Sus scrofa: one gene and its partner. The protein of the gene in region 1 purifies or fractionates together with the protein of each later gene. This does not show direct contact. Links are inferred from orthologs where the notes say so. Each region holds a gene or a part of one and is shown in the gene's direction. Other genes may lie near its edges.

The links. Proteins that work in one complex are often made in the same cells at the same time.
Region 2: the proteins of PSME3 (region 1) and FAM192A purify together in Homo sapiens (affinity purification with mass spectrometry; 4 studies listed by BioGRID and IntAct, counting the BioPlex papers as one, with this or other methods). This does not show direct contact. The link is inferred for Sus scrofa from reciprocal best matches to the Homo sapiens genes PSME3 and PSME3IP1.

The regions. Positions count from the first base shown.
Region 1 is NC_010454.4:20,031,373-20,038,033, reverse strand, and holds the start of PSME3 (proteasome activator complex subunit 3), read left to right. Parts: upstream 1-2,687; 5' UTR 2,688-2,688; coding exon 2,689-2,730; intron 2,731-3,223; exon of another isoform or gene 3,224-3,238; coding exon of another isoform or gene 3,239-3,313; intron 3,314-3,415; coding exon 3,416-3,448; intron 3,449-3,571; coding exon 3,572-3,634; intron 3,635-3,829; coding exon 3,830-3,934; intron 3,935-5,135; coding exon 5,136-5,184; intron 5,185-6,118; coding exon 6,119-6,231; intron 6,232-6,463; coding exon 6,464-6,532; intron 6,533-6,661. UniProt on the Homo sapiens protein: Subunit of the 11S REG-gamma (also called PA28-gamma) proteasome regulator, a doughnut-shaped homoheptamer which associates with the proteasome. 11S REG-gamma activates the trypsin-like catalytic subunit of the proteasome but inhibits the chymotrypsin-like and postglutamyl-preferring (PGPH) subunits.
Region 2 is NC_010448.4:19,139,433-19,145,413, reverse strand, and holds part of FAM192A (protein FAM192A), read left to right. Parts: intron 1-2,948; exon of another isoform or gene 2,949-3,082; intron 3,083-3,515; 5' UTR 3,516-3,530; coding exon 3,531-3,657; intron 3,658-4,195; coding exon 4,196-4,294; intron 4,295-4,687; coding exon 4,688-4,809; intron 4,810-5,981. UniProt on the Homo sapiens protein: Promotes the association of the proteasome activator complex subunit PSME3 with the 20S proteasome and regulates its activity.

The DNA.
Region 1 (6,661 bases):
GCTGTGGTATAGGTCACAGACGCCGCTTGGATCCCGTGTTGCTGTAGCTATGGTGGAGGCTGGCAGCTGTAGCTCCAATTCAACCCCAGCCTGGGAACCTCCATATGCTGCAGGTGTGGCCCTAAAAAGGAAAAACAAACACACAAACAAAAAAAACCCACACACAAACTGAAAGTTAAGAGTTAAGTTTTATTTGGAGCAAAATTAGGACTTCAGCCCAGGAGACTGCGTGGGTAGCCTCAGGAGGTATCCCTGAGAAAACTGCTCTGAGGAGGAGAGGGGGGAGCTAGGATATGAGTTTTTGCAACAAAGAGCAGATCGTAGGAACAAAAGAGATCTGCACTCACTGAAATGATTGCTTTGATATGCACCTCAGCTATCCGGGCCAATATCCTGTGTTTTCACAGCCTTAGCTTCCTCAGGGCTAGCTGTTAGGAGTGGCTGCAGTCTGAAGGCCATTAGAGGGCAGGTATTCTTTCCTGAGTTCTTTCAGGGCTCACTGGCTCACTCTTGGAGGTGGCTGCATTTGCAGATGACTGTGACATCCCTTGTTTTGTTGACTTAACTACAGCCCAACTGCTGTAGCTCTGAAATACCGCAAAGAGGAAAGGGGAAATATCAGGATATATGTGATAAAGGGAAGGGGGACGTGTGTGCAGCCACGCACACATTTCACAAAAGTTTGCTTCTGGTCTCGTGAAGATTACTACTAGTCGCGAGGAGCAGACATCACCATGAAGGATTTTAGTTTTCCTAGATACTAGGAAATGCAAGAATTGGGCACATAAAATCTTCTCCTAAAAATATCTAACTGGAGTTCCTGGTGTGACTCTTGGCTTAAGAACCTGACTAGGGAGTTCCTGTCGTGGCGCAGTGGTTAACGAATCCAACTAGGAACCATGAGGTTGCGGGTTCGATCCCTGCCCTTGCTCAGTGGGTTAACGATCCGGCGTTGCTGTGAGCTGTGGTGTAGGTTGCAGACTCGGCTCGGATCCCGTGTTGCTGTGGCTCTGGTGTAGGCCGGTGGCTACAGCTCCGATTGGACCTCTAGCCTGGGAATCTCCATATGCCGCGGGAGCGGCCCAAGAAATAGCAAAAAAAAAAAAAAAAAAAAAAAAAGAACCTGACTAGTATTCATAAAGATGCAGATTTAATCCCTGGCCTTGCTCAAGGGGTTAAGGATTGGGCTTTGCTGTAAACTATGGTGTAGGTTGCAGATGCAGCTCGGATCTGGCATTGCTGTGGCTGTGGCATAGGCCAGCACCTGCAGCTCTGATTCAACCCCTAGCCTAGGAACTTCCAAGTTTCACGTGCAGCCCGAGAAAATAAAAAATAAGAAAGATCTAACTATCCGAAAGACCTATTCTTCCAGTTTTCCCATAGCACAGAGTGCCTCACTCCTGGTTTCCACCCTGAGCTCTGCTTAGTGGGTTCTGCAGGTCAGCAGCTGCCATGGCTCATGGTTTAATCCACGTAGAGGCAGATGGCAAGTAACCGTAAATGCGAAACTCCAGTTCACAAGATTTAACTTACATAAGTGACTCACATTATATTTCTAGCCTCTGAGACACTGCTGTCCCAGAGCCTACTCCGATTTGTTGTGCGAAATAACCAATGCTATAAGACAGATGAATGGGTGAATTAAGACAGACAGCCTGGGGAGTTCCCACTGTGTGCAACTGGTTAAGTATCTGGCCTTGTTACTACAGAGGCTCCATTCCCTGCGGTCTCCAGGGTTCAATCCCAGGCCCAGGAACTTCCACCTGCCTCCGGTGGGTGGGGGGCGGGGCTGGGCGACAAAAAGTCGGGTAGGGGGGAATACAGTCTCCGCCTTCCACGAGGAAAATGGATACAGCATTGCCCTAGAAGTTAGGAGATGTGAGTTCTGGACTTGGATATACTGTAAACACTGTGTAGCCTAGGACAAGCACCGCCAGACTACAGGCATCAATTTGTCCATACATCTGGCACTTGATCTCTGAGGTCTAGGAGTAAGCGGCTAAATGGCAGAGAAAGGCGGGGAAGCCTGGTACAACAGGACTTGTTTCCTATCAGGCTCCAACCTAACATGAGAGCTTGGACCAAGAGGAGGAGACAGCAGGAATCAGAGACTAGACGCCCCGAACCCAGCGCGGGTACCACCGGCTTCCTCGGGCCGACGTCACCGGGGCGCGACGGCGTCTTCTGTCGGGTCCCCCACTCCAGGCAGCAGCGCCTCCGACGGTCCCTTCGGTGAAGGTGAGTGCCGGAATAACAGAGAGGCAAACGGTCCTCGAGTCTCTCTGAGACTCCGATCTCACTCCACCACCCTCTGCTGCCCTCCCTTTTACTTCACCCTTATCGGGCACAGGAGCCGAGAGATAGGAGCAGAGCTACCATCGTTCAGAGCCGAACCTCAGCGCGGCTGCGCAGGGCACGTGCACATCCTCTCGGAGTCCCGGCGATTGGCTGTGACGTAACTTCCGGTGTGAGCGGCGAAAGCCGGGAGGGCGAGCGAGAGAGAGCAGGCAGCAGGCAGCAGGCGGGCGGACGGACGGCACGAAGGGAGGGAGCAAGTGAGCAGTGAGTGGGCCAGCGAGAGCGGCCGCGTCCCGAGAGCAGCCGAGATTCCTCCCGTCCCTCTGACCCTCTCCCCGGAGCCCACAGCGCCTCCGGTCTCCAGCGGAGCGGACACGGCCCGGCCCGGCCATGGCCTCGTTGCTGAAGGTGGATCAGGAAGTAAAGCTCAAGGTAGGGGTACGGTCCGGGCTTCCTTACTCCTTGCTTCGATCCTCGAGCTGTCTGACTGGCTCCCTACTCCCCATGGCGTCTTTGTCTCCCTGGGGACACCAGCCCTGAGCTTCCGCTCGGCTCAGCCCAGCCCCCCACTCCCAGAGATGGCATCGGGGGAGACGCTACTATGGGGTGGCCTTCTGTACCCTGTCTAATGGTGGAGAGCCCCGGGGAGACTTCCGCGGACACGTGGTGGACTTAGTGCTTTAGGCCAGTGACAGCTGGAAGTCCCCCCAGCCCAGCAACGTCCCCATCTCTGGGCGCTGCTACTGCCCCTGCCCTTGGCGTCAGGCCTGCCTCACATCCTAGGCCAGGTTTGTATGGGGGTTGACATGTTTGTGAGCTCACGCCTCTCCCATCTACCTGTCTTTTGTCTGCTTTCAAATTCAGACAAGCTACAGACAAAGGGAGGGAGGGAGGGAAGACAGGTGGGTGCTGCCCTCCAGCCCCGCTTCCCTCTCCTGAGATGGAGAAATGGATCCTTAAAAAAATAAAGTATTTGCAGTCTGGGGGCCTCTCAGCTTCTCATTACAATTACAAGGTGAGGGAAAGACAGTTGGATTTGGGTTTCCCCATCCTGCCCATACTTCTCTTGCCAGGTACTGACTTGCTCTTACTGAATTGCTTTCTTTGTTAATTTTAGGTTGATTCTTTCAGGGAGCGGATTACAAGTGAGGTGAGTGAAAGAAGTAGAAAATCGAGCATTGGTTAATGGTTGGGAGTTCTCCAGAGAAGAGATGTCTGTAGAGACAGACCTTCCCTCAGTTACTAATTCAGCTATATTTTCCCTCATCTTTAGGCAGAAGACTTGGTGGCAAATTTTTTCCCAAAGAAATTGTTAGAACTTGATAGTTTTTTGAAGGTGAGAGACCCTTTTCTTTTCCTCAGAGTCCCCAGTTTTTTTGGCCCTGGTCTTTCTGTCAAATGGGACAAATGACGTGTTGATTCTATCTTGTTTTGTGCTGTAAAGCCGTCTTCATATGTTGCCCTTGAAATGAAATACTTCTTTGTTCATTTTGAAAAGACTGATGTTTTGGGGGTGGGCGTCTCTTTTCAGGAGCCAATCCTAAACATCCATGACCTAACTCAGATCCACTCAGACATGAATCTCCCAGTCCCTGACCCCATTCTTCTCACCAATAGCCATGATGGACTGGACGGTGTAAGTATCCTGTATTTATCTCTGTGTGTGTGCCGAAGCAGTAGGCGCTCTGTCCTCAAGTCTCTGGTCAGCTTGAACGTGTACAGGGGTACAGGGGACAGTGGGATTTGGATCTGGGAATGAGGATTCTTTTTTTTTTTTTTTTGGCTTTTTGCTATTGCTTTGGGCCGCTCCCGCGGCATATGGAGGTTCCCAGGCTAGGGGTTGAATCAGAGCTGTAGCCACCGGCCTACACCAGAGCCACAGCAACGCGAGATCCAAGCCGCGTCTGCAGCCTACACCACAGCTCATGGCAACGCCGGATCGTTAACCCACTGAGCAAGGGCAGGGATCGAACCCGCAACCTCATGGTTCCTAGTCGGATTCGTTAACCACTGCGCCACGACGGGAACTCCCGGAATGAGGATTCTTACAGACATATGACTTTGGTACACCCCCTTCGGTCCCCGGTTTTCATTTGTAGCATGTGTTAATGGGTACTCTGTTAGAGTGAGTTGAAAATAGGGCTAATAGTGACAAGGTCCCTCAGGTTACCTGGTCTGTCACCATGGCTCTAGGCAAGACTTTTCATCCCTGTTTCAGTGTCTTGAGTCTTGTTATGGGAGGGGGCAATTGTTCTTGCTATATAACTGCAGTTCCCCGTCTTTCTGTATCTTTAGCAACTAGTCTTTAGAATATGTCCACATTCTGTTATAACAATGATGACCCCATATTGTTATTTATCTGCTATATATATTGTTATTTATCCGTCGGTGTCTCATGGGTAGAACTTGCACTTTTGGAAAGGAGAAACTATCTGAATTATCTTTGTATCCCCAGCACCTAGCATTGTTCCTTGCAAGTGCTAAATACATGTTTGTTGATTGAATATTCTTTGTGGAACAAGCACATTTGTTTATAATCCCCTTAGTTATACTCACTCTGCATTCAGTAGTTCATTCTTTCTGTTGTTCATAGTATCCACCCCTCCCCTGGTTGCCTAATGTGTTATATTTCTTGAAAAGTTGGTCTTTCCAACTATAGTGTAAGTTGCTTTGTGGGAAGAACCTTTTCTTAAAGCTTTGTGTGTGCTTAGTGAATTGTGGGTAAATTAATAAGACAACCTGTGAAGTCAAGGTAGGGATTAAACTTGCTAGAAGGGTAACTTGCAGTGGGGATGTGAGTGTCGAATAGGCTGATTCTTGTCTCTTTGTATCCTTAGCCCACTTACAAGAAGCGAAGGTTGGATGAATGTGAAGAGGCCTTCCAAGGTAAGAGCCACCTTCACTGTCCCCTACCCCAACCCTTCCTGGCTTGCAGCCCTGAGAAGCAGGATGGATCTGGTGCTCTCCTGTCCAGCAAGCAGGATCTGATTTTATTTCCTAGCATTAGCATTCCTAAGCTCTCCAGACATTGTCTAGTACTCTAAACCTAATTTTCCTTTCCTCTTTTTTTGTCTTTATAGGGCTGCACTCACGGCATATGGAGGTTCCCGGGCTAGGGGTCTGATCAGAGCTGTTGCTGCTGGCCTACACCACAGTCACAGCAATGCCAGGTCTGAGCCGCATCTTCGACCTACACCACAGCTCATGGCAACGCCAGATCCTTTAACCCACTGAGCAAGGCCAGGGATTGAACTCACAACCTCATGGGTCCTAGTTGGATTGTTTCCACTGTGCCAGGACTGGAACTCCGTAATTTTCCATTTAACAGGGAGGGTTGGACTTAATGTGAACTACCAAGGGAGAGGTTGGAGGTGGCTACACATCACAGATTTTTCGCAAAACCCCAGTTCATATCATTTTTTCCTCTTCAATAATGCTTGGTGCGTTAAGTCTGTAGAGCATATTTTAATCTTGTTCTTTAGACTTTCCGGATGTTTTAGACACTCATCTGTTAATCCCCATATTCTCTCTTTTTTTAATTCTGTTGGTGGTGTCACGGTTTATAGATAGCTTTGTGACAGATAAAAGGCAGAAGTCATAAGCTTTTCCTTGTGGCGCAGTGGGTTAAGGATCCGGTATTGTCACTGTTGTGGCTCAGGTCGCTACTGTGGAGCCCAGGATCTTCCACATGCCACAGGCATGGCCAGGAACAAAGGTAGAGGTCATAGTATCTCACGGGTCTAGGAAAGAGAGAAAGGTGGGGAATGCTGCCTCCTTCCACCCAGCTCCAGTCATTTGACCTTCCTCGTGTCCTTGCCAGGAACCAAGGTGTTTGTGATGCCCAATGGGATGCTAAAAAGCAACCAGCAGCTGGTGGACATTATTGAGAAAGTGAAGCCTGAGATTCGGCTGCTGATCGAGAAATGCAACACGGTGAGGCAGGGGCTGATGACCTAGGGGCTGACCCCAAATAGCCTGGCTTGAGCTATGCAAGACAATGGATGTGGGGCCAGAGGCGTGGAGGTGATGTTGGAGTTGGCAGACTAATTATCTTGACTCCTGTGCTCCTGGCATCTGGCCCCAGCAGCATGAGTTGTATATGTCTTGGCTTAAGTAGAAAAGGCTAAGATCCTCATATGCATATTTTGGTCCCCTCACCCTTCAGGTCAAAATGTGGGTACAACTCCTGATTCCTAGGATAGAAGATGGGAACAACTTTGGGGTGTCCATTCAGGTAATGTGCTTGCATTGGAAATGGGAGAGGAAGGTTTGGGAGGTAATCTCATCTCCCCTGCTTTTGTGTTTTCCCTTTCTCTTTGGTTTGCTGTGGGGTGATGTGGAAGTGGCTTTTAACCTTTTTGTT
Region 2 (5,981 bases), on another chromosome or scaffold:
ATTCTTGATTTTGTCTTTACATGTGAAAGATGGGGAATAGCACAGGCTAAACTCTTTGAGCAGAAGCTGAATTCTAACACTTAGGAGAAAAAGATTGGTAGAAAAGAGAGTAAGAATGTCTTGGAATCCCATAAATTTGTCTTTTCCCAAAAGTGATTGATAAATGTTGGGAAGATATTTATTTCTCTAGGGTTTCTGTTTCAAGTATGTATCCCAAAGGCTCTGTCCCTTGAGTTTCAGGGATCTTTGTTAAAGTTAAATGAAGGTAGGTTCTTTTTCCAAAAACTCAACTGGATATAAAATTAAATAAATAATTTTTACTTTCTTAATTTTGAGTTATAAGACTAAATCTTAAGAGCCTCTGGATTCTTTTTTTTTTTTTTTTGGCTGTGCCCATGGCATGTGGAAGTTTCTAGGCCAGTGATTAACCCAAGCCATAGCAGTGCCAATGCCGGGTCCTTAACCCACTAGGCCACCAGGGAACACCGATTTTTATTTGGATGGAGGCGTGTAAGATTCAAGGTTTTTATCTTGGCCTGTTAGAAGAGTTCTTTCAGTAAATGATATTCATGTTAAAAAAAATGCGTAAGAGTTCCCATAGTGGCTCCGTGGTTAACGAACCTGACTAGTATCCCTGAGGTCATGGGTTCGATTCCTGACTCACTCAGTAGGTTAAGGATCCACTGTTGCTGTGAGCTGTGGTGTAGGTCACAGACACAGCTAGGATTTGGCATTGCTAACTCAGATCCCTAGCTTCTGTGGCTGTGGCTTAGGGCAGCAGCTGCAGCTCTGATTCGACCCCTAGCCTGGGAACCTCCATATGCTGTGGGTACGGCCCTGAAAAAAAAAAAAAAAATGTGTAGCAGTGCATTTAATGGCGTACCAGTGGCATTGCCATATCCTAATATTTATTTCTCAGGTTTAAGTCATATGCAATTTGATAATTTCACTGCTTTGAGGCTTTTTTCTCCATTTTATGTAACATTAAAGGAACTAGTAATGTTTGACCCAGAAAAGGAGCAAATTAGGGGGAACATGGCAGTTGTCTTCAAACAACTGAAGCATTGTCTGCTGAAGAGGGGATTTGGCTCCGTTTGTGTACGTCCCAGTGCATCGAACCTGTGTGTGGAATTTACAGGGGGATGGATTTCAGTTCTGTCTATTTCAGTTCTGTCAATTCTAAGAACTATTATACTAGTCAGATCTGCTCCGAGGCTTGGCTGCCTGGAAGGGAGGGCAGTGATCAATCTTGAAATAAGGATTGGTTGAAAATCTCCTGGGTATGGACTGTAGGTTCCATTGCCAGTTGGAGAATCATGTTAGGTGGGCTATAAGGACCTGTCATGTTCTGAATTATTTACCAGGAAATAAGGGTGAGGGGAAGAAAGCAGACAGCCAATAGAGGACGAGAAAAGAGAGCTACAGCTAAGAAAGGGCACATGAATGTCCAGTATGTCTCTTCTGTCCCTTAGAGTTCTACATAGTTGACATTTTTTCTGCCAGAGACATTTAAGAAAATGTTGGCTCTCTTTCCATTAGAGTTCACTCTGTAGCACTTGAATTTTTGGCATTTTTGGCGTAGTCACAGAGCCAAAAAATTACGAAAACAATTATGTTTCTGTACTAGGTCTCTGGCTAGAGACATTGAGTAGTGCTTAATCAGAAGTGTCCAGGTTGCGGGATTTAGGTGGCAGCAACAGCTTCTGTCAGTTGATCTGGTTTTCTTTCTAGTGAATTAAAAAATTCTCTTACTGTTACCTTGAACTAGACTTCAGCTACAGTAGGATTTAAGCTGAGACTATTTTCTTGTTCTGCATGTTTGGATTTGTTTTCTCAGCTTACATTTTTGTCTTGACTAGAGAAAAATGTTTCATGAACATTCTCAGCACTGGAGTTTGAACTCTTTTCACCCAGGATCCCTGATTTCCAGGGAGGGGTATGGTCACCTGGGTAAGAGCGTGAATTTTTGCTGTCAGGCCTGGATTTGATTCTCATCTCCATCATTCACCACCTTTATCACCTTAGACAAGTGACCTAACTTTTTTGGACCTCCATTTCTTCAGCTGTAAAGAGATGGTATCTAGGGTCAGTATGAGCATAAAAGAGATACTATACATTTAAAGTATTTAGTAGGTAGTAAGAGAGTAAATGGTAATTAATTCATTTTTGTGCTAGCAGTAGAGGCTTCTTTTTTTGTTATTAGGGGTCATCTTGGAATAGACATTGAGTAGTGTAGAATATGTGCTTCCTTGTTAGGATTTATTTCTACGAATAGCTCATAATGTATGAGTTATTATTAACATAGAGTTAATTCCACAGTTCTTCAAAAGGAAAGAAACCAGCAAAGAAAAGCAGGAAGGTTTAGTTTAAAAGAAGTAATACACATACACATGCCTCTGTCTTTATTTCCTTCTCCCCTCCTTTCTTTCTTTCTTTCTTTCTTTTTTTTTTTTTTTTTTTTTTGTCTTTTTGTCTTTTCTTGTGCTGCTCCCGTCGCATATGGAGGTTCCCAGGCTAGGGGTCCAGTTGGAGCTGCATCTGCCGGCCTACACCACAGCCACAGCAATGTGGGATCTGAGCCGTGTCTGCGACCTACGCCACAGCTCACGGCAACGCCGGATCCTTAACCCACTGAGCAAGGGCAGGGATCGAACCCGCAACCTCATGGTTCCTAGTTGGATTCGTTAACCACTGCGCCACGATGGGAACTCCCCTCCCCTCCTTTCTAAAGGAAGAGTCAGGGATTTGAGTCTTCTACATCAACATATGCATAAAATGGCTGAGGTTATTATAGGAATGAAAAAAAAGACAAAGACTGAGGATAGAATACTAAGTGGCACCGATGGGGAGTTTACAGGGAGGAAGGACAGGAAGAGATGAAGGGAGGTGTCGGTTTAGCAGAGGGCAGAATACATTGAACCTGAACTTAGGCGATCTGGTTCTTCTAGCCTCCACTTTATCCACTCGTGGTTTGAGTGCCTCTAGGTGTATCCCTTCCCTGTTGAACAGACTAGACTCATCTCTAAGCCTCCTTGAATACCTGCGTTTCTCCTTTCTGAATCTACTTGGAAGTAAGGTACAGGTGAGTAAAGTAGTGTCATGTCCCTGAAATAGGAATTTCGAGATGGAACAATGTCAGATGTTATAGAAATAATGGAGGATAAGAACTGGGAAAAAGATATGGAGCTCAGGAGGCCAATTTGTTTAGATGAAAGGGACAGAGAAAAATCTGGGATGTAAGAGTTTCTTTGGAATGGCCTATCATGAGAGTTACTCTAAGTTTTCACGGTGACTTTGAAGATAACATAGATGGTTAATGAAACCATCTGATACACGAGGAAAATGTAATCATGTGCTTTCATCAATTACCTGTAAATTATTTGAAGACTGCTTTAGTTCAGGGTTGAAAGGAATTTGAGTAGTCTGTTGCTGGGGGAAGACAGAGCTCAATCTTCTTGTTTCTATGTAATTTTAATTGCAGTTCTCACTTGAAATATTTTGTTTGTTTTTTGTAGACTTCTTGTTCCATTATGGATGGAGGGGATGATGGTAACCTTGTTATCAAAAAGAGGTTTGTATCTGAGGCAGAACTAGATGAACGGCGCAAAAGGAGGCAAGAAGAATGGGAGAAAGTTCGAAAACCTGAAGATCCAGAAGGTACATAGGCTTATAGTCTGGCATTCAACATAGTGATCTTTAATCCTGTGCAAAGTAGGTATTCACGTCTTCATTAAGTCATTAATTCTGCTGTAGAGTTGCTCCGTCGCTGGGAGCTGCCCCAGGATCCTCACATCCTTGCCCTTTGCACCTATCACACTGTCTTCCAGGAGGTTCCCCTAGTCTCTTCCATCTATACAGGTGGATCCAGGCTCTGAACAGCTGAGAGTGTTGCTACCATGTTGGGTTTGGGTGGGTGCCTCATCCAGTTAACCGGCTCAGGCCGGGGCCTATTGACATTGATAGTTGGCTTTGAGAACTGCTGGCCCCTCTCTGAGGTCCAAAGGGTAGCTGTGGACTTTGAACTATTTTTGTGTTATCTTTGCCATCAGATCGTGCAGAGACTTGACTTTATCTTTAAAAATCCTTTGTGGCTCCAAAAGAATATGAAAGTATTCTAAAGTATATGTTTTGGTTTTTTTTTTCCTTCTCCCTCCCTTTCTCCTGCCCCCTTTCTCTCCCTTCCTCTTTCTTTCAGAATGCCCAGAGGAGGTTTATGACCCTCGCTCTCTATATGAAAGGCTACAGGAACAGAAGGACAGGAAGCAGCAGGAGTATGAGGAACAGTTCAAATTCAGTAAGCTTCAAAAAACACAGCATCCAAGCAACTGTATAGGGCCTTTTTGGTGCACTTTTGCCTCGTGCAACACTTTCTAACTAGCCATGGAATTGTCTTGATTATCTAATCTCTAGAAGCTCATTTGGTGGAAAAGAGATAACTTTGTACCATCTAGACTACAAAGAACATTTTGTTTAGAACTCAAGAAGCCTATTTTAATTCTATGCTAATATCTAGTAGTGGGAGAGAAGCCTTGATTTTATGCCAGGTTATCTCTCCAAAAGCCACAGTGTTTACAAATTCTTTCTTCTAATCCCCTGAAGGATACACTGTTTATTAAAAAAAAAAATCTTATTGGACTGTATTTTCTCTTTAGCCTGCTAAGTGTTCCTTGTTTAATTATTCCCTCAGAAAACATGGTAAGAGGCTTAGATGAAGATGAGACCAACTTCCTTGATGAGGTTTCTCGGCAGCAGGAACTAATAGAAAAGCAGCGAAGAGAAGAAGAGCTGAAAGAACTGAAGGAATACAGAATATCCTTTGTACTTTGAGAAAGTTGTTAGTTTTCTCACCAACATCTACGAATTTTAGTGTCTTCATAAGTAGAATGAGGGTCTTCTGCCAGGTGATCTGTAAGTTCCCTTTTGACACTGATGTTCCTATGACTCTGAATAACTGGCAGTGATGTATAGAGTTACACTGTGTGCAAGAATCTGTCAAAATCAAAAATCTAAATCCTTTAGGATTAGCTCAAGGCCTAAATCCTAATAGTACCAGGGTATTTTTGCCTTGTGGAATTAGACTCTGAGACAGATGGGCAACGCAGTAAACTTCATCCAGGGGAGAAATTGGCCTCTAAGTTTTAAAAGGAAATGTTTAGCAACTCTCCCTATAGATGTAGCCTGGTGTGTCCCCACAGAAGGGTAGAGAAAGCATCCAAGATGACTTAGCTTTGGCTCAGCATTGCCTTTCTAGCATCCACTTGAATGTCTTAATCAGCATCCCAGGTGTAACTTGGCGGAGTCACATTCTCAGTTCCATACCTCAATACCTCTACCGTCATCATACCACCCCCCACCAAACTTTTTTTTTCTCACGTGATGGTGCTCCTATACCCCCGGGCACCTGGGCCAAAAACTGCCTTCAGAATGTGCTCTAAATCTTACAGTTCTTGCTATTTCTATTGTCACCGCAGTCATTATAGAGGCTTCTCTGGACAACTATGACCATCTAATTATCTTTCTTCTGCTCTCCCCCCACCGCAATCCATTCTCCAGACAGTAGTCAAGGGGAGCTTTTGAAAATATACATAGGATCCTATCACTTTCCTGTTTGAAACACTAGTGACTTCCTGTTGCATTTAGACTTAAGTCTATATTCTTCACAAGGTCCTACAAGGCTCTGCATGATTGAGGCCAGTTCACTTCCCTGTTGTATTGTGAACTAATCTTCCTCGTGTTTGCCATTCCCAGGCCTACTGGCCTTCGTTATGTTCTTATACTGAGCTCTGTGGGTCCATTTAAAGCCTTTGTATTTGCTGTTTCCTCAGCCTAAAATGTTCTGCCCTCAGATTTTACAAGGCTAGCATTTTAATGACACTTGGATCTCAGCTCCCTACATTATAGAGACCTTCCCAAAATACTCCATCTAAAATTTCACCCACCCTTGGAGTTCCCATCATGGTGCAGCGGAAACGAATCCAGCT